Diceros bicornis minor: one gene and its partner. The protein of the gene in region 1 interacts with the protein of each later gene in a biochemical or structural test. Links are inferred from orthologs where the notes say so. Each region holds a gene or a part of one and is shown in the gene's direction. Other genes may lie near its edges. The genes, in order: CFH and C-reactive protein-like.

Evidence for each region.
Region 2: the proteins of CFH (region 1) and C-reactive protein-like form a complex in vitro, tested with the Homo sapiens proteins (12 studies listed by BioGRID and IntAct, with this or other methods). The link is inferred for Diceros bicornis minor from reciprocal best matches to the Homo sapiens genes CFH and CRP.

The regions. Positions count from the first base shown.
Region 1 is NC_080777.1:25,516,077-25,528,079, forward strand, and holds the start of CFH (complement factor H), read left to right. Parts: upstream 1-6,122; 5' UTR 6,123-6,164; coding exon 6,165-6,222; intron 6,223-12,003. UniProt on the Homo sapiens protein: Glycoprotein that plays an essential role in maintaining a well-balanced immune response by modulating complement activation.
Region 2 is NC_080767.1:30,176,499-30,186,899, forward strand, and holds C-reactive protein-like, read left to right. Parts: upstream 1-5,802; coding exon 5,803-5,866; intron 5,867-6,474; coding exon 6,475-7,079; 3' UTR 7,080-7,108; downstream 7,109-10,401. UniProt on the Homo sapiens protein: Displays several functions associated with host defense: it promotes agglutination, bacterial capsular swelling, phagocytosis and complement fixation through its calcium-dependent binding to phosphorylcholine.

The DNA.
Region 1 (12,003 bases):
CCAGTAAATGATTACTTCTATCTTGCAGTGCATAATTTATTAGGTATTTTTAGAAGGGTAATTTACAAAAAGAAATTATAGTCTTCCAAAATGCAGCTTAGCATCATTACACAAAATATTACATTGCGTTCCTATGAGTCCTCATTAGAGACTGGAAAAAGACCAGCTCTAAGAGTTTCCTCAGTCCAGAGCAAAAATTGGTAACAAAGTTTGGGAATAATATAGAACTTGGAGTCAGAAAGGCAGTAAGCGTAGTGTTCAAATGTTCAACTGTGGAACCAGACAGCCTAGGTTCTAATCTACTTAAGTAAGTCACAGCTTCCCTATGTGTAAAAAGGGAATAATAGAATTATCTGATAAGGTTTATGAGGATTTAAAGTAGATAATACATTTAATACAGCACCAGACACACAAAAATGAATCATTAATCAGCAATTATTATAAGATCAGTAGAGCTTGGAAGGTTAAAGCCACGTCAGTGCAGGGTCAGACAAGAGACTTTGCTCAGAGATTTTTAATATAGCCTAGAAAAGACTCAGAAATGTGCGGTATATCGTGTGTTGTACCCTAGGATAAATGCCTAGGAACCTGGGAAAGAGGACTTTAGAGGAGGCAGCTGGTTTAGGGAAAGGAGAACCAATTTTCTCTGAAGCCTTTTAAAGCTTTCTGCATGTGCTCCAATTTGACCGAGGAAGTTGCCAAGGAGATGGCAGGTTTTTTTCTTTCTCCTCTAAAGGGCTGCATTATTTGAAGAGCTTGCAATCCAGTTTTAGAAATGCACCTAATAAAATAAGTGCAATAAATAGGAATGGAGGTCCTTGTGTTTTCACTTCCTCACAACTAGAATTAAACAAAATCTGGAGTCATTGTTCTTCACTTCCATTCAAATTATTAAATTGGGTTTTGCTAGCAGGGTCCCTTTGGGAAGAAGGCACTAGCCTCCTAAGGAGTGGGAAAGAGAACTCTAGAATGTTTAGGGCTTCTCCATGTAAGTGAGGAGATATTTTAAAATAAATCTGAAAGATGACCTTTACCTTAGGCCATGCTTATATAGGGTAATTTGTACATTGTTTTTCATGTGATAGAGGAGGAAAGATAATAAGGAAATTTGTCAGGAGGTTTTAAGCTCTTTCTATCAGGACATAAAGAAGACCGTTACACCTCTGAGTCAGTTAGGGGAGGAAAATTTGACCTCAAATAAGAAATAGTGACAGAAAATGACAGGCTGCTCCTGGTTTGAATTAATTGGAGAAAGGAAAATTGATTCTTCACAATTTTTCTCTTGTTTTATTGCAACTGTAATTTGTATTCTGCATTAGTAGTGATGCTGTCAGTCGAGGTGGTGGTGGTTTTGTGAGGTTACAGATAGAAAAACCCAAACCATGACAACTGGAAAATAAAAATCACACATTGAGTAAAAGATGACTGAATCTTCCTATGTGAATTATACTACTGATATCTGTGATTATTAAAAATAAATTAGATTGGTTTACCTATCAGATGTATCTACGAGTTTCATTATTGAGAATTTATGATGCTGTTTCATATCCTCCTTTTTGAATATATATCAAGATCAGCCTATGGAAAATGCTGCCTTCTTTTTCATACCTTTTCAGAGCATAATGGGCCCTGAGTTCAGACCACCACGTCATGTACACAGCACCATCCAATAGAAGTTTCTGTGATGATGGACATGCTCTACACCTGTGCTGTGCAACATAGGCACTGCCCATGGGGCTATTGAGTACTTGAAATGTGACTGTGAGACTGAAGAATTGATTTTTTTAAAAGAAAGCTTTATTGGGGTTTTATTTACACACGGTAAATAATGTAGCCGCAATTTCCATTTCCTATACTCTTCATCCCTTCATATAGATTCATATTTTCATGCAGTATCATTTTCCTTCTGCCTGAATTCTTCCTTTAACATTTCTCGTAGTGTGGATCTGCTGGTGGTGAACTCCTGAGATTTTATAGATCTGAAAAGTCTTTCTCTTAGCTTTATACTCGTAGATTTTTTTTTTTTACTGAATATAGAACTCTAAGTTGACAGTGTTTTTGTTTTCAGCACTTAAAAATGCAGCTCCACTTTCTTCCCACCTGCATTGCTTCCAATAAGAAATCGGCTGTCACCCTTACCCTCTGTATGTCATGTGTCTTCCTTTCTCTGGCTAGTTTTAATACTTTCTGTTTATCATTGATTTTGAGCTGTTTGCTTATAATGTGCCTTGGTGTAATTTTCTTCAGGTTTCTTGTGCTTGGGGTTCATTGAGCTTCATGGAACTGTAAGTTTATCAAGTATGGGAAATTTTTAGCCATTATAACTTCAAATAATTTTTCCATCCCTCCTCCTTTTCAAGTTGGAATGTGTGCTACATCTCACTGATGCTCTCTTCATTCATTTTTTTTTTTTTTTTTGGTGAGGAAGATCAGCCCTGAGCTAAGGTGTGTTGCCAATCCTCCTCTTTTTGCTGAGGAATATTGGCCCGGAGCTAACATCTGTGCCATCTTCATCTATGTTATGTGTAGGATGCCTGCCACAGCATGGTTTGATAAGCGGTGAGTAGGTCTGCACCTGGGATCTGAACCTGCGAACCCTGGGCCACTGAAGCAGAGTGCAGGAACTTAACCACTATGTTACTGGGCTGGCTGCTTCATTCATTTTTTAATTCTCTTTTATTTCTATGTTTCCTTTTGGATAGTTTCTGTTGGTATTTCTTCAAGTTCACTAATATTTTCTTCTGCAATGTTTAATCTATCTTTACTCCCATCCACTATAATTTTCATTCACTCATTGTAGTTTTCATCTCTGGATCTTTTTTATATCTTCCATGCTTCCACTTAACTTTTGAACATATAAAATACAGTTAAAACATTGTCATAATGTCCTTCTCTTTTAATTCTAGCATTGATGTCTGTTCTGAGTCAGTTTCAATTTATTGATTTTTATCTTTAATATGAGTTTTATTTTCCTGCTTCTTTGCATGCCTGGTGATTTTTGGTCAGTTACCAGACATTTTGAATTTTACTTTGTTAGATTCTGGATTTAAAAAAATTCTTATAAATATTCTTGAGTTTTGTTCTGGGATGCAGTTAAGTTAGGTTAGTTGGACCCTTTGGCTCTGGTTTTAATATTTATTAGGTGAGAGTGGAGGAGTGCTCAGCTTAGAGCTAACTATCCTCAACTACTGGAACAAAACCCTTCAGTGCCCTCTAACTGTTTAGTCTGCTAGTGGGAACTGGCAATATACTCAGCCCTGTGCAAGAATTGAGGAGTATTGTTGCTCATCCTTCCTCATGAGTGTTTTTTTTTTTTTTTGTCTTTAAATAGTTTTCTCATATGCACACAGTCACTAATCAGAACTCAGCTGAATATGAATACTTGCAGGAATAATCCACATTTCTGTGAATATCTCTCTCTGTGCAGCTGCCTCCTCTCCAGTACTCTGTTCTACAAACTCGAGCTACCTTGCTATTCCCTGCCCCATTTCCTTGACTTAGGGAAGCTATCTGACTCTATGCGGGTTCCTCAACACCAGAAACTTTCTCAAGGAAATAAACTGGAGCAATCATGGGGCCCAAGTCTTTCAGTTCCCATCTCTCAGAGATACCTGTTTTATATGGCCTGATGTCCCTTATCTTGAAAACTCTTTTTCATCCATTTTGTCAGTTTATTGATTCTTTTTAGTTGTTCAGGTGGAAGGATAAATCCAGGACCTCTGTTCTACATTGATCAGAAGTGGAAGTCAAGAACTAAATTAATTTAAGTTAATTTAGTTAACTTAAATTTAAATTTCAATGTAATAAGTTATTTGTGGACAATGGTTCAGAAGCCATAGCTACTAACTGCCCATTCCAAACCAATAAGAAAAATTGTTATGCAGTGATTAGTTGCACGTGACATCAAAGATACAAAGCATCGTTCCTTCAAAATATTTCTTTAGGACTACATAAGATGCCTTAAGGTGTTATAGATTTCATAGTATAGACTGACCTATGTTGTTACCTGTCACTTTTAATACTACATGTTAATCAGGAAAGATCCAGGTTTTTGGATGTGGCATGCAATTTGGACAGAACTCTCTAAGGAAAAGACCACAAACTGCGAACAGAAATTAGATTTGAAAGTAAATATTTATTTGAAATTATAAATAAAAAATAAGTTAAAATTAGAAATAAATCATTATAAATTATAAAGTTAAAAAAATACCAAAGACATCATAAAAACCAGAAACAACATAATATGTATATTGTCTTATACAACTCTATGATACCTTTAATTTTTACGTTTTTGGCTAAATACTCTCTTGAGCTTCTCTTCACATGGTGTAATTTTCTAGTATTTTCAATATAGAGAAAGTAGAAAAATAATTCAGTTTTTAGCATATTTGATTTAAATTTGTTACTTGTTATTGAAATATTAGAAAAGTCTCTTCAGGTTCACAACTCATGATTTATAATGGCCTATAAATTTTTAGGATTGTTGTCAAATTTTGGAAAAACTCAAGTTTTCTTGATATAATGAACTACAAGAATTCAGGGCATTAAAAGAGTTCTTGTGTTGTGAGTAATATCAAATACTATTTGAACTGAGATATTGTAACTAGTTTGTTCTCAATGTCCTCATTGTAGAGACATAAGTGTTATGGTATCTTCATTCATGTCAATAGATCACACATGACAGGAGCAAACTTTCATTCTTACAAGACATCAATGAGATGCAACTACACCCAATAGTGTGGTTGAAGGACCTAAACATCATTTTTAGTGAAAAGCTCTAAACACTGTAAACGTAGAAAGCAAAATTTGCCTGTTATTTTATCTCAAAATGAGTTTATTCAGAGCAGCCAAAAGAATTGCAATTCGAGATGTACATGCTATGGCAAACCATGGGCAAATCCAACAAAGAAGGAGCGCTGCTTTTACAGAGAAAAAAGGGAGTAGGAAGGGGCGGTCCTAAATGAAAATCCAATGGGGGAAAGTAACAGCTCAGGGCAGCAATGCCTTCTTATTGGTTGAGCTGTTGCTGGGTGGTGAGAAAAATATTCCTTCAGTAGTAAAGTGGTTTTACTTCCTGCCCAAGATGCAAGGGCCTGTCTCTTCCTGTTCGGAGTAATTGAGGATGTGTGATGGGGCGTGAGAACTCCCTCTATGGGCCTTCCCAACTCCAATTTAGTTCAGGTTTCTTTTATTAATGTCCACAACACATAAGAGTAAATATCTTATTATTTGATTTATATAAAGTACAAAAACAGGCAAATCTATTCCATACGTTAGAGATCAGGGTAGTGGTTACGCTGTGTGTGGTGGGGGAGCGGGTGAGGGAGGTTGACAGAAAGGGAATACTAGGGGTTTCCAGAGAAATAGTGCTGTTCAGTTCGTGACCTTGGTGCTGGTTGCATGGTAGTCTTTACCTTCTTGATATTCAGCAAACCACTTGCTTATATTCTCTTTCTGCATATTATATTTCAATACAAAGTTTTAAAACAATTAGCATTTTAATTTCTTGATTTTTGAATTATTAAACTCTTATGTCTAATGAGAGTGAGCCAGTTGCTTTACAGACGTATCTAACAAGTCCTTAGAAGATGAATTTCATGAATTGTGGGAAAAGCAGGCCCCCAAAATCAGCCAGTACTGCGTTCTTGGCAAAGTTTACTCACGTTGTCTGGGTCATGATTGTGAAAGCATTGCCTAAGCTCGAGTTCTGTTAATGATTTTTAAAAGAGTCCTATTACTTTTCTTCTGAGGTTGACACACAAGACCTGAAAGGAGTTTCAAGAACTGGAGGATTTATGAAATCCAGAGGATATCACCAGCTACTGCTTCGCACATTCCAAGAATCTGAACATGTCCCAACGGAGAACATGCCTGGGTTTATAAAAACAAATCCAGAGTGGGTCCAGCATTAACATTCCGTAGGAATGCAGTGAGAATCCGGTTCAAACTCTGACACTGCTGGGGCTTGCGGTTGATTTTTTTCTTTTACTTTGAAAAGTTTCTGATGGGCGGAGCATCTAGTAATCCTTTTAATTCTCAAGCTGCATTTCAACTTCCTTTTGGAGCAAGTAATTTCCTGCCCTAATCGCAGTTCTTAGCAGAGGAGAACCTGACATAGTGTGAGCAGTGTCAGCTGTTAAATGTACCCCTAAAAGACCCCAAAAATGAGATTTCCGGCAAACATTGTGTGGCTTATGTTATGGACTATTTGTGTAGCACAAGGTAAGAGTAAAAGGGGAAGACTTTGTCCTATAGCTATATTATCAAACATTTGCTAATATGCTTTTTACAGTGGTAATAAAAATTTGATCTAGAAAATGTGAATTACTGTTCTGTAGTTTAGTCTATGCACGGCTTTTGACTGTGTTAAGTTTAAAAAATATAAATAGCTTACTTGGATGACATATCTGATTATTCATCATAATTTTATTTAGTGAAAATTTTTAGAAAATGTTTGAATAAATATTTTTGAAAACTATAATGTCATAATCATTTCCTTTGTAATTTTCATAAAATATAATTTTTTTGCTTAGAATTTTCACCAAAATGCTTTATGTGAAAGTATTAAGAAGTATGTGAACATACATAGAACCAGAACATAAATTAGACATTAAAAGCCTTTAAATCATATGATTGGATTTATTTCAGATATAGCTGTTAACTCTTTCTAAATTTCATTTATCGTCTATGACTGATATTGCCATGGCCTTAAAAGTCTGGTAGACAAGCATTACTTGTATCGTTCGAATGATGATATTATATAAATTTGAAAAAAATTAAATATGCAATCTTTGTCACATCTAAGTTGTTCAGTAGGGTTTTTTCCTGCAGTTGTATATAAGATATATTCTAGAAGACTAGCCTTTAGGAGTAGTTAATATGAGTGTAGGAGTTTTCTTCTGATATCAGTAAGAAAATTTCTGAATTCATAATTAAATTTAATTCTAGCACTGTTTCTCCATTTATTAAAAAGTTTCTTCTTGGAGGAAATTTTCTTTCCTAGTTCATGATGGGTAACTAACTATGTGATAGATATTTGATTGATATTTTCAAACCAAGTGAATTAGATATCATTCATAAATTCCCAGAACTTTTCACTAAGTCAACAACTTTTGATTGAACACTTACATCATGTCAGCTTCTAAGCATTGAGAAATATTACCAAATAACACAAAACCTCTGTGCTTGCGGGTGTTTCAACCTAGAAAATAAAGGCAGATATCTTTTTTTAGTTATATCCTTTAGTAATTTTTTTAAGTTTATTCAAATGTGTTTAATATTTTTGGAAAGATAGAGTCTTTTTGCAATTATACATTCTAATATGCTATTGCTTGATTTTTAGCTTGTAAGCTTTATATCCAGCCGCTTTTTAAAACTAGGTATACAATCATTTCCCTGTACATATAAATATTACAATTAGTATTTAAAAGTAAAATATTGTTGTATTGGCAAAGACTTCTGGAACAATGTTAATGTTACCAATCTTAGCAAACATATTTTTCTTTACATAAGTATTTCTGTCTTTTCTTTTAGTAGGAATACTTCTAGCGTTTCACTGTTTACATATTGTTTGCTGAGGTTTTATGTAGAAATTTGTCATGCAAGGAAGATTTGTTTTATTTCTAGCTCATGTTTAAAACTTAGTAAGTATTGATGCCAAGTTTAATTAAACTGTTGAAGTGATTAAAAAGTGTAATTTGAAACATTATTAAAATTGGGTGCTACAAAGTATAAATGATAAAAATTAAACAATAGTGATTTAAACCCCTCGCTTATGTAATTGATTCCTGCTGACTTATTTCACTTGTATTTTATATTTCAACAATGTATGTTTAAATGAGATATCAGTTTCTATTAGTGAGCTGAGCATTAGCACTGTACATATTATAGTGAAAATGACTATAAATCTGGATGTTTCCTAACAGATAAAGTACAACTTTAGTATTTAAAGCAACACTTAGGTTAGCCTCATGATTTTCACAAAAACACATCTAATTCATAAGCTAGTAGAGAAAAATTACATGAATTTTCAGTGGATATAGAACTGCTATTTTATTCCTTGTTTGCCAAATAGTTCTGAAACGAAATTAGTTTGAAATGTCAATCAACTGCATCAGTTACCATACCTAACGGATATTTTACTCAACAGAGCAGCCTTGATCGTTAAAAATGTCCACATATACTTCAACATTTGCCTCTGTTTCTATTTCATATGTAGAAATAAATATGGAATACTAAATTGAGATATTGAGAGATACCAAACTGAATACTGAATGCTAAATGGAGAAATTGAAAAAAGACAGTTTTGAACACTATCACAATCTGCCTTCTTCAACTAGACAAAACATTTTAGCATTTTCGTAAATAGCCTCTGCCCTGTTAAGAGCGAACATTCCACCAAAAATATTATTCACTACTAAAGAGGAATAATTGCCAACAGGAAGAATTTGAAAATCCAACTTTCTATTTTTTTTTTCCTTTTTTTATATATTGAAGACCAAGTACTACCTTTTTCATGCAATAGGTTGTCTGCACTCACGTTCCTAGTGGTACAGGAACATTGGTTGCTTTCTTGTGGTAAAAAATCATGGCTGGGGGAGTCGCAACAGACTATTAAGAATCTGGTCAGGTTCACAGGACAAAGTTTAGAATAACAGTTCCTCAATCATACCACATAGTTTCTGCTTTCTGGAATATATGACAACCAAACTTTTCAAGTAGACCTTTTAGATTTAGCGTCTAAAAAGTGTATACTCTTTGCAATTAGCCATAGCCCAGAAATACTAGGCTGATTAAAGTGAGTAAATTAAAACTCTAATGAAACATGTCCAAGTACACACTGGCTGTGGTGTTTGGAGAGAGATGTTTTTTAATTCTGGAGGTTTAAAGGGAAAAAAAGTTCTTTCAGGACATGAAATACATTACAGATCAAAGAGAGAGAGATTCTATTCCATCAGAAGAGGAGAACTTATTTTTTTTATATATTATATTGTTTCAAGTACAAGATGGCTTCAAATTTAAATTAATCCTAATATGGAAAAACAGAATTGATATTATGAATATCATAAGAATTAATTATAAATTAATAAAAATTACTCTTTTATAAGGATATATGTGAATATTATGTATAGCTATAATCCATAAAACTTGTGATAGTGGTTTATAATCCTAAATTCTATGTTTCAATTCCAGTATGATAAATAAGAATCCCCCCTCCCCCCTCAAACCCCCACATTTTCAGAAATATTAGTGTGGGTATTTACCTATAGGGTTTAATTAAAATTGTGCAATGGCCCAATGGTTTTCAATATCTTCTCTCCTTCTAACATGTCCTACACATTGATATTACCTTAAGTTCAACCAATCCAAAGTTTATGTGGAATGAAAAATACTCTGAATAAATACTTTGGGATAATTAAATTTAGTATGATTCACCACAATTTACTGTGAATTATTGTAAGTTGCTCACCTTTCTGCAACAATTTTGGTGGGGAAAGGTAGAATTGGATGATGAGGAGGGTAAGAACAGGACCCAGCAATTCTGGGTGAGGAATTATTCCCAGGTAGGTTAGATCTGATGGATGAAATGCTACGGCAAGCGCTGTGGGAAGGGGTAGAGAAAATGCGCATAGGAATGTTAAGAGAGGGAGAGGTGTGCCAAAGCCAGCCTTGCTTATTCTAAGTGTAGGCATAGCCTGGGAATGCGTATTCTACTCTTTTGCCTGCATATAATGTTAAACTAGAATGGAATTATTTAAATATTCCTAAAATTATTCTTAGCTAGGAGTAAGATCCCAAATATAAGTTAAAGCACAAGTTAGCAAAGATTCTTCATTTTTGGCCTTTGATTTTGAGGGCTTGAGCCAAAGTCTAAGTTGCCCCATTTTTATTTGCTCAATTCCTGATTATTCTACAGCCTTTGCCACTTTTTCTTCTTTCCAGCTATGCCTCGTCCTCCTTACCCCACACAACATCCCCCACCTGCCCGGCCTGTGAGATTCTGCCAACCAATCTGTCCTGTGCTCGCTTAACTAATAAGCACTTTACCCATTTCTTAACAACTTTAACCAGCCCCAGAACACAGTGCATAAAAAGGACATGATGTAACTGAAAAAGAAAGTGTTACATTTTAGTTTAACACTATAACGAAACATTATAAAAATGGCTCAGAGAAAGCAAAGTAATGGGACAGGAAAAAAATCACAAAAATAATAAAAGGAAAGGGGGAAAAAAGATTTGACAGAACACTTTTGTTTGTTTTGACATTTTAACTGAAAGAGCCAAGTTTCTCATAAACCTTGTTAACCAGAAATGTAATAAATAGAAAAGTATTATAGAAATGTTCCTTCAAAGGTTCCCAAAAGTTTTTCTGAGCTAAATTAAAAGGATTTCTGACTTCAAAAAGTATAACATAGATTCAAACTTAGGACGTGTGGACAGACGTGTGGACAAGATGTGCAATGGAATTACAGATGTTAGAGTTTCTTGGGTTCATGCAGCAGAGCTTTAAGTGCACTAAACATTTGTTCCCTTGTTTTCTCTTATCCTTTACATTTGCTACCATCTACTGTGCCCTTTCCACATGTTGCCCATGATCTACAGATGTAACGGAAAAGCTTTGAAATAGTTTCATATTCATTCATTCATTCTTTCATTCATTCACTTGTTCATTCACTTATCATGTTTTGAGTGACTGCTAAGTACCAGGCACTATACTAGCACTTCCCAAAAGGAGGTCACTTAGTGGGGAAAATGAAAAGAATGATTATTGTGTTTTATTAACACATATTTTATGACATAATGTATTGTGATGGAGATTAACAAAAGAGACTATAGGATCATTTAGGGAAGGCAGGAAACCCACATTGGAATGAGAAGATGGAGTGGGATAGGGTTGAGGAGCTAGTTTTTAAGAGCTGCAATGAAGAGAGAGAAATATGTCAGGATTGCGATGGCATCTTGAGTGGGTTTTGATGGTTGAATAGGAGTTCACCAGATGATGATGACAAGGAGGACACTCAAGACTGAGGAGACAACGCGTGTGTATACAAAGGACTAACAACAATAATTTTGCAAAACTGGAGGACTGAAATCATCTTTCGTATTTCTAATTCTTCCATCAACTGAACTACCACAAGTACAAGTAGAATTGGGTATAGTGTGTGTTTTTTCTTCCCTTTCTCTTTTAAAACTTATCCCCAAGATTGGCATGATAAGTATTCAGATGCTAAATTGTTCCGGCAACAGGATTTTCAGGGTCCTCATTTTAGTGGCACCCTGTGACTGAGCTCCTTTCTACAGTCACCAGTTAGGCCTTATGACAACTTATTCTCTATATACTAACAATTTATTTTAAGAAACTAACATTTTGAGTTGACCAATAAATGGCATTAGCTGTTAGCTATTCAAATACTACACAGTTCAAGAAACTTGATTTCAGTGGCATTTTCAACCTGTATCCTGACAGTGACTTGTTTCGTCCTAATTGTGATGTGCTTGTTACTCTCCTGGTTTCTTACTGCTACCACCCATTTTCCCGTTTGCTTTTCATGATCCTGGAGTTATCTTTATGCTCTTTTTTTACTGTTAAAATTTTAAAAATAAATTGTATAACCATCTTTTTAAATTTTAAAGATATAATTTTATTTCTTCAAATGATTATGAAATGAAACATAATCTCTATCTGCTTTTTCTAGAGTTTATTTAAAAAAAAAAACTTCATTACAACTGATATTTTCTTTACACAGGTATTTATATACTACTTACTAAATTGCCTTTAAGTATTCTTATGTTATTTGTAAAATAATCTGAATATGTCTTATTTTTAAAAGCTAATTGGACCATATCATATATATACAAGTATAAATAATATGAATATATACCAATGAGAAGATGGGAAATAAATTTAACATAAAATAGTTATTTTTGCTATTTCCCTTTTGTCCCTTTGCTTTATTTTTTTTCTAAATTGACTTTTAGTTTTGCTTTATAATATATTCTCAT
Region 2 (10,401 bases), on another chromosome or scaffold:
AGGTCACAGCCAAGAGTGAAATATGGGGCTGCCTGTATATCAAATAGTTGCTTTAGAGAAGGCATATGTTAGACTAGTTAAGCATAGAGGATCTGGAATCCAACTGCCTCAGTTCCAATCCTGGCTTTGCAACTGACCAGCTATGTGACTTTAGGTGACATAACCTGTTTATGTCTCAGTTTTCACATCATTAAGTGGGGAAGGAATAATAGTAATTAGCCCAAAGAGTTGTTGTAGGAATCAAATAAGATCATGCATGTAGAGCACTTAGTGTAGTCCCTGGCACCCAGTAAGCTCTCAAAATAGTTATCTACTATCATTATTATTATTAGGCTGTTTTGTATTATCTTGCTAAACGTAGGTTCATTATATGCCATCAAAGTACAACTTGGTGGAATTGGTCCAGGCTGAGAGCGGTTGAAGGGTCTGATTTGCTAAAAATTAAGTTCAGAATATTAGGAGGATGAACAACAAATCTTTGAGGTAATTATTTATGAATATTGTTTCCCCTAATTGACTTTTGATAACCGTTTGGAAGCGTATAAGTTAAAGATACATTCTTGGGCAAAAATGTGAGTGCAAAATTTTTCTGTGGTCCAATTAGGGCAGATCCATACACCCTGACATTCAGCTAAGCATAAGAGAGGGTCAATACCTTTTTCTGGTTAAAGAATCCAGTTAGGAAATATGTCTTAATTGTAGAAGACCATCCCAACTCCCCAGGGATGTGGGCTGAGCTAATATTTTCCTCAGAATTCAATTACTGGTACCTTACTATACATAGTTTAGTGGACAGCCTCTGGCTCTAATAATTTTAGCCAGGAAAATTTTTAAGCTAGTATTTGCATTCAGTGAACACTAAAATATCTCAATAAAGCATTTCTAGAATGTTTAAATTTAGACAATTTAGCTTACTGGTAGATAATTTAATGTAATCTTGTTAGAAAATATATCCCCAGGTCACTGGTCTGTTGCATGATATAGAATGGTTAGACATAATTCCTATTAAATGTTATGTGACATCTGCCAAGGAGGATGATTTTGGTTTGGGCGAGTTGGTTCTAGGCAATTCTTCTTCACAGTAAATGGATAAGATCCATTGTCCATTGAGACCACTTCTAGCTGATGTTAATAAAGCCATGTTATCAGCACTGTTTTTTCTTGATAGCAGGGATCATGCATCCAGTTTGCCTAGAAGTAGAATCAGGCATTAAAGCTTAAGTTAAAAAACAGAGGGCCAAATCGTATATAAAACCAACAATAAAAGCCACTGTGTAGGGCTTCCTTGAGAAAAATGGGGTAAACTATACAAAGGGCACATGCATAGTAGACCATAAACATTTCTTTCCTTCAAAGGAGGTAAGGAGAATGGATTTATGCACTTCTATCAGTGAAATGAATCTTAGGTGCAATAAAGGCAGTGGCCCAGCACCTGAAGAGATACTGTAGTACATTTACAAGCCAAGGAAGAGGGGGTAGACCAATCACATATGTCAGAGATTGTACATGTACAATCATAGGGAGATGCTGGAGGCTGCTACCTGATAGGACACTTTCCTTTGGGCGCTGAAAATAGGCATGTTGGTATGAGAGTTGGGGCCAGGCCTTCAGGGCCAAAGCCTGACCCAAATGTGAGCATTTTAGCACCAGATGCAACATGGTGATGTGCACGTCAGGCACCTAAAATCTCCCTCTGTCAGGCAGAAATATCAAATCACTGGTCATGGTGACAAGCCTTGCATTGTCCCTATCCAGATGAATGGACAAGTATCCATCTCTGTAGTCTATTCAGGGCCTGGAGGAGAGACTACAGGTTGCCCCAGAAATGGAGCTGGGGCCAGATGGAAATGGCTGTGGAGTCCCAGTTGACAAAGTGGGTAGAATGGTAAGTCTGTGATTTTTTCCTCATGCTTTTCACTATTCTCATTTGATGTGCCCCAGGGAAGCAAGGATTGACAAAAAACAAACACACACACACAAATGACTCCAGATCATTAAAACAACAAGAAAAAATACCCAAATCAAGTTTCCAAAGTATAGATTTCTGATCCTTAGAATCCCAGGGAAAGAAGAGAAACGCTGCTTTGATTTCTAAATAGTTTGATCCTAAGATAACCAACCTCTAGTCGCAGACGGGTTGATATAACTTGCTTGGATTCCTTCCATGCAGTTCTCCACCTCTGTCACATCTGTGCATCTTTTCATGTCTCCTGGAGAAGGTGGGTTAAGTGGCCTTGTTAGCCTTCTTCCTCAGAAAATGCAGACTCCCATCTCAAATTTCCTGGATTGCCTGCTCCAGGGATTCTTAAATGGTGGCCTGCTATTACAGGCATCATCATCACGTGGAGTGTTTATTACGAGTGTAGATTCATTGATCCCAGAACTACTAGATTACACTCTCTGGCGTTAGAGCCAAGGAATCTGCCATTCACAAGCTCTTTTGCCCAATATGTTTTTAGAACCATCGCTTTAGGGTCTTCTTGGCAGCTCGGATGGCTCATCTAGCAGACATGCCTGGCTCCCAATAAGCTTGAAGGCAGGTGGTCATCTTTAAAGAAGGATCTAGCACATCTCGACTCAGGTTATTCCCTTGGCCCACCGCTGGTGCATTCTCTGAGGACTCAGTGTGATCCCCTCTACCCTACGTCCTTTCATACTCACAGACGAGTGATCTCATAAGTCTCCATCACTGCTCCCAGGATCATAATTGCTTAACCACACAGGGCGGATCACAGACAGTCTTAACAATACCTTACATGCACTGAGCTCTTGCCATGTCCCAGACGCTGTTCTAAGTCCTTTACGTATATTTGTGTGTTTAATGACAATGCTATGAGGTAAGTACCATTTTTTAGCCATCATTTTACAGATAAGGAAACTGACATCTAGAGAGGTTAATTAACTTGCCCAGAGCTGGGGTTGAACCTAGGTAGTTTGGCTACAGAGCCCTGTGCTTCTAACCACTGTATTCTACTGCCACATGCAACAAAAACTTACACACTGCACTTATACCCCTAGGGGAGGAGGGAGAGTATGGGATGTGTGCATGTTTTCTCATGGGGAAGCCATTCCAAGATGCCATATATTCAGAGGGTTAACTACCATTTCTGGGAAACTGGGAATCTTCCAACTTTTCATTTTGTTGTTCTATGTTGAGGAAAATGACATACACACAGATATACTCCGCAGCTTCAGCATCAACATAACATTAGGAAGACTATGCCCTTGACACATTGTCAAAGTTCTTCTTTGACTTGGAAACCCCCACCTTTTCCAATGTCATGTATAGCTTGGGACATAATTTTATATCATAGGAAGTATTCACCAATGGCATGGAATCATATGAGAAATTATCTATGTCAGCGATTCTCAAGTTTAGATGCTAATATAATCACCTGGGGAACTTTTAAAACTCCAGCTGCCCAGGCCACACCCCAGATCATTACACCAGTTTCTCTTGTGGTAAGACCCAGGCATCAGTATTTTTGAAGTTCCTTAGGGGATTACAGTGTGCAGCCAATTCTCCAACAGTGGAAGCTGGGAATCTGCTGTTCTATCTGAGTGATAGCTTTGAAAAGACTGTTGTTGTCTCTGACTGGTTGTGTGGTTGTTTCCGACTGATGTGTCTCTTGCTTCCTCCTTTCCTCATGTGCTGGTGGTTTTTGTTTGAATTGGGGGAGCATACCAAACTCTCTATTGAAACACTGGGGTCTAGAGTCATAGCTGCTCTAGGATTAAGTAAAGTGATAACCATATATTTACCATGTTCTTATTTATTCAATAAAGCTGCACCACGATAACAAACATTCTGTTTGTCTTAGAATGTTTTTTTCTTTTTCCTCAGTTGATACTTTGGATCTCTGCAATCTGAGGTGTTTGTCTGGCCTACTGGGGCTTTAAATCAGGGAGAAACCAAAGCGCCATGATGTCTAGAAAAGCTGCGATCCTTTGGTATGTTTATTGGATTATGGCAAGCTGTAAGAGGAGAAGACTCCCAAGCAAACATCTGAGGTGAGGGTAATATTTATTACACCTCTCTCCTGATAAAGTTCCCCCAATGCTCTGTCATATGTGAGTAGTTCCAGTACTGTGTTGGCAGGTAGCTGGAACCAGGGGTAGATTGTGAAATGGTTCAAGGGGAAGATCTCTCAATTTCTCTATTCTATTTTTTTTCTCTTCTCTTTCTACTGCTTTAGCTTTCCCTCTCCCTATCTCTATGTCTCTATGCCTCTATCTCTCTCTTTTTCAGTGTTAAGCCTTGTTCAGAATATCCATTTTGGAGATAGTTCTGGTAATGTGGTGAGCTCCCTGAAATCAATAATATTTCCAAAGAGTCCACTCATCATATTGGTAGTTACATTCTTTTGATGCGGGGAGCTCGTTGCTAACGAGAAGGCAATTTGGGTACTGAGAAAACACTTTCTTCCTTCTTTGTCCCAATCTTTTCACCTGTTACATATTTTTTTCTGTTCAAATTATGTATATATCTTTTATTGGGCAAGTGTTTAGAATAAGAAAAGCTTTTGAAGCAATTACTTTAAGCCAATCTTATAGTTTAAGACACAAAAAGTTTAGAAACAGTAATTACAAAGAAAACTTAACTGTACATCATTAAAAAACAAACATTTCCAGAAATGTACTACCATCTGTAATAGTTCTTTTTTCTTGTGTGTTTAGAATATGCTACCCACATGTTAGTGGGTTCTTCCAGTCAATTGAGAAATAACCTCTATTATTAATTTCTCAATGAATACCAATGGGAAAACTCGTGATGAGGCCATGTGAATAAGCTCAAGATTCTTTTTACATGAATTTATAATGTTATACAGGAACTTGTATATTGCAAAGTACTTTAGTACCTAAATATAATTATATATATACCTCAGTGTGTCTAACTGATATTGTTCTCTGTTTGAGGTATTCTGGGAGTCAAGTCCAATAGCCACAGTCAAACTGGGTGTTCTATTTGTAAAATGAAACAGTAGCTTTTGGGGCTTCAAGGACTATTGATCTTCATTCCCCCTTTCCTTGCTTCTTACACACACACACACAAACACTTCATTTTAGAAGTAATATAACCATGTTAAGGAAATGTTATTAATGAGGGAAAAAAATCCTCCATAATTTCATTACGATGATAAAAACACTTATTGTTTGGGGGGTATTCCTTATAGTTTTTTTCTAAGCTAGTAACTTCTTTTAAAAAATAGTGTATAAACAAATTTGTGTTAGTTTTTCTCTCATTATAGTATTATAAGCATTTTTACATGTTGTAGCTTAAAATTCATAACCGTATTTTAAATGGCTTTCCGTTCTATTTAGTGGATGTAGATATATACAATTTACTTAAACATGTCCCAATTTTCTAATTTTTCACTATCCTAAGTAATGTTATGGTTGTCTTTGTGAATAAAGTGTCCCCCCTCCCTATATTTTATGGCATTTCCCCAGAATGGATTCCCAGAATGTGACTGTTTTAATTCCCTAAGCATTGCCACACGGAGCTGTTGGAGCACGAGCAGACACCATGGAGTCTCTAATAAACAACCCATATTGATCTCTCGTTTTGTGATTTATCTTGGTTTATTTGCTCTTAGAGCTTTGATCCATGGCTGCAAGTGGCAATTTTGGAAAATCATTTACCTGTCAGTTGAGACACTCTGACTATTGCACATATAAGGTCAAGATGGAGCAGACCTGAGACAGAGGGATCTCAGAGGTCCAAGCCCAGAATCTCAGCTGCTAAGATTCTTTCCAGGAGGATAACTCAGATTCTAGGTACAGTGACAGCAGGGAGGGAACATGGAGAAACTGTCGCTGTGTTTCTTGATCATCATCAGCCTCTCCAGTGCTTTTGCCCAGAAAGGTAGGCACTACTTCAGATGGTAGCCAAGTTCTTGTCTCAGGGTTAGACTGTGCAAAGCCAAGTTAGGGAAAGTGGCCAGCATGGGGGAGGGGGTATGGTCTGGGGAAGAAGGCAGTCTTTGGTTTCTAAATCCAATCTCTCTATATAGTGAGAGAATACATCTTTGTGGGCTAACGAGCTGTTAAAAAAGAGACAACAGGCCCAAAATGGAGTCACTGTGTTAAGCCCCATGTCAACAAACCAAGACTTAATACCTAAACTAATTGCAGTTTCAGCCTCTTTCAGGACTGTGACATTTAACCTGGAACTGCCTGACCAGCAGTAGTGAGGTAACTCCATATGACCCCTTCCTTCCCCCACAGGAAGGTGACTTTGCCTGAAATAATCCACTCTTTGCTAGAAACTTCCTCTTCCTGCCCCCTTCTGCTTATAAAAGGCCTTCATTTTGTACAGCTCTTCGAAGCTCCTTCTTTCTGCTAGACCGGACGCTGCCTGCCTCAAGAATCGTCAAATAAAGCCAATTAGATCTTTAGATTTACTCACTTGAATTTTGTTTTTTAACAAAGCTCAACTGCTGACATTTTCCCTCTCTGTTTTCTATCCTACAGACATGTCCAAAAAGGCCTTTGTGTTCCCCAAAGAGTCAAATAGTTCCTTTGTGACTCTGACTGCACAGCTAAGGAGGCCATTCACAGCCTTCACCGTGTGCCTGCGCGTCTATACCGACCTCTCTCGTGCTTATAGCCTCTTCTCTTATGCCACAAGGGCGCAATATAATGACATCCTCCTCTTCAGGAGCAAGAATGGAGTATACAGTGTAACCGTGGGTGGAACTGACATCATCTTCAAGCCTCCTGAACGTTCTGCACCAATGCACTTCTGTATGACCTGGGAGTCCTCCTCAGGGATTGCAGAGCTCTGGGTAGATGGGAAACCCATGGTGAGGAGGAGTCTGAAGAGGGGATATTATCTGGGGACAGAAGCAAGCATCATCCTGGGGCAGGAGCAGGATTCTTTTGCTGGAGGCTTTGATAAAAAACAGTCTTTGGTGGGAGACATTGGAGATGTGAACATGTGGGACTTTGTGCTGTCACCAGATGAGATTAGCACTATCTGTGATGGTGGGACCTTCAGTCCTAACGTCCTGGACTGGCGGGCACTGAATTATACAGTGCATGGTGAAGTGTTCACCAAGCCCCAGCTGTGGTCCTGAGGCCTTTTTGTTGCATCCTGATGTTGCCTTTTGGGTATTACACCTTACATTTCCCTTGTCTTTGGCTCTGGTGTTTTATTATCATACATACATGGCTCTTGCACCCTGGGGGGACTGTATTTCCCTCTCCCTTCTCCATTGTTTTCATCATCACAAGGGTCAGTGCAGAGCAGAGGATCTTATTCATGGCCGCACATTAGAATTACCAGCCCACACCCTAGGCCAATGAAATCTGATTTTTTGGAGGCAAGCCCCAAGTATCAATGTTTTTTAAAGTTCTGCAAGTGATTCCAGTGTTGAGCAAAGGTTGAGAACCACTGCATTTTAAGTGTCTAGGAGCAAGTGAGCCAACGTTTTTTTCTCCTAAAAGACAGCATGTGTTTAACTGTAATCTTGCCAACATTTTCCTTTCCCTTAATAGACAGACCCACCCCATTTTATTGTGCTTTATTGATTTATCTAAAGAATACAGGAATATAATTTTTCCAGCATTCTACCCCCACCATCGGAATGTGGTCATTATAAATTAGAATTATCTTTAATTCTTTAATCCTTTCAATTTGAAGATTCAAAAATCTAAAAAGAAATGTTTTATTGTTGTTTCTGTTTAATTTGTTCTATTTTTTCTTCAGGATCACCAATTTTCATTATGTGAGATTTCTATTATTTTTCCTTCTCATTTATCATCACTCAGATTACTTTTATCTGTGTCCTATATCTTTATGTTTTGAGCTTTTATTTTTTCAAAACTATCCTTTACATTAGTGATTTGTTTTTCTGTTTGGCATATTGGGATCCTTACTATTTCTAATGCCATTTAAAATTCTGTAGTGCTTTTTGAGTTGTCTTAAATTCTTTCTCGGCTTTAGTATGTTTTTTTCAACTCTCATCTTTCAATACATCTCTGTTTTCTTCCATTTGCTTGAGAGTTTAATGCAGTTGATGCCTAACTTTTTCTAAATTTTTCTGTGATTAAACTTTTTTGAAGTAAATATTTTACATGCTTTAAATAATTTTCTTTTATATTTTAGTTTTTCAGTCCTTCTATTTGTTCAAATATAGTGTGAGGGGTGAGTTCTCTGAGTCTCCTTCCTGCTTATGCGGCCACAATTAGATTCCCTGACAGTTTAAGCTAGCTGGCTGGTAGACTGATGTTTACTAGGAGTTTCTAGTCATGTAGCCCCAGCCCTGACATCCTGCAACTCTCCTTTTAAGTGATCGGATCTCCACCAATTTCTGCCAATTGTCCCAGACTTTCATAGGTGCACTTCTTCAGATATTTGTGTCTTCATTTCTCTCTCAATGGAATGACCCAGGGTACTAGGGAGGGCACAGTTGATAATAGCAGCATAATCAGACAAGACCAGGTCTTGGGTTCTTTTGGAGAAGGTCATAGGCTGGGGAAGCTTCCATATCCCTCTGACTGGCTCCTCCCTGTGGGAGGAGGAGGGACTTATCCTGTGGGTACCACGTCCCATGTCTGACCTCCATTGGTTCACAGCTTAGGGGCCAAATTTCACACGCATGTGACAGCTCTCCCTGGGCTCTGGAATCCTTCGCTCTCCACCAGATGTGAAGCAGTTAGGGATTCTTGTTGCTCCTCTGGCCTGAAGCTTAGATCTGGAGGGGAAAAGTTTTGGAAAGGCCTTTCTTACTTTAAATCCAAGCAGGGTTCCTTGCCGGCCACAAGACTAATGTTGTGATCCTTATTTGAGTCCTATGTCTATTTCTTAGTTCCTTTAGAACCCACAGAAGAAGAGATGAGATTGTCCCCTCAGAGCTCTAAATGCACCATGAAGAGAGAAAGAAGCTCCTCTATTGAGAGGTCTGGACTTTGTGGTTCTTTACCTGCAAGCAGCAGAAGGTGACCTGGGCAGGACTTCAGGCTTGTCAGAGCAGTAACAAATTGGTGAACAATCTCTCACATTCAGCATGAAGGGTCTGCTATCAGTGGGGATGGTGTTTACACTTGGAACCGGGGCAGGCTTATCCAAGAGTTCCAACTCTAAAAATTGTGAAGTTCCCCAGGAACTGGGGTAGGTTCACTCAAAACAAACTGAGTCTTGATGCCTGGACTCTTTGGCCTTTGTATTGTGGGTGACAGGCACTGATGGGCAGAACTAGATACTGTTCCTCTCAATATGCTTCACTCATGTTCAAGGTCAAAGAGGGACTGTTGAAGGTCTAATCTGTACATTTGTATGGCTCATTTGCAGTTTCTTAAAGGCCCCCTCCTACTTGCTCACAACCTTTTAACCAGGGTTTAAAATAACAGACTACCTGAGTTTAGATCCTGGTTCCATCCATCTCTTAATGGTGTGTGACCTTGGGAGAGTTATTTAAAATACTGTATCCTTCAGATTTCCTCATCTTTAAAATGGGGGTAGTATAGGGCCTACTTCACTGCCACATAGCTAGTGCTCAATGAATGTTATCTATGATTTACTAATAATATTGTTAGCTTGATCATGATTGTGGATTTCAAAGACCCAGGCTTTGGATCAGAGACCCAGTAGCTTGAAGGGATCCATCAATGAGCAGATGTAGAAGACGGGAGACTTCAATTCTTTGGGTGATGTGTCAGCTTACGGTGGAGAAAATAAATCATGAAAATTATCACAAACTTATAGGATAAGGGGAACATTTGAAAGGCCTGTCCTGTGCCTGGAATGCTTGTGGCTGCAGGAACCAGAGTTGCTAGAGGCAGAATGAAGAAGACAGTGAGAGGGTGAGGAGGCTTCAGAATTTGGCACGTGGTCAGAAAACTCACTCGAATTTTTAGGAAAACATCAGAAACTCCGGGAGGATGAAATCAACTTAAAAGACAGGTTTTATTCTATAGTCAAAACAACAGCAAGTGGAAAAGGAAAGGAAGATACTGTGATCTGGTCCATGTTTGCCCTACAGGGAGTAAAAGGGGCAGGATCAGTGTGGGCAGCTGGCTGCAGTCTTCACAGTTCAGCAGCTGGCTCGCTTCAAAAGAACAGGGGAGCCATAGAGAGAAAGGAAGTGGGACGTTAGAGGAAGAAGCATCAGGTCAAACTTCTGAGGAAAAGAAGGTGGAAAGAAAGCTCTCTGCATCATTGAATAGCCCAAGTCACTGCAGGCCTGGAAACTTAAATCTGAGGAAAGGTGGTGGCCGGGGTACAGCAGGGCTGGAGGACACAGGGGTCACCGATGAACCCCTGAGAGCAAAGGCTTTGGAAGTGCTAACTACGCGGTACAAATCCAGACTCCATGGACATTTTGCTGGGAGGTCAGGCTCAAAGAGAAAGCATTTCCACATGGCTTCCTTATTTCCTTTGAGCAGAGACAATGATCT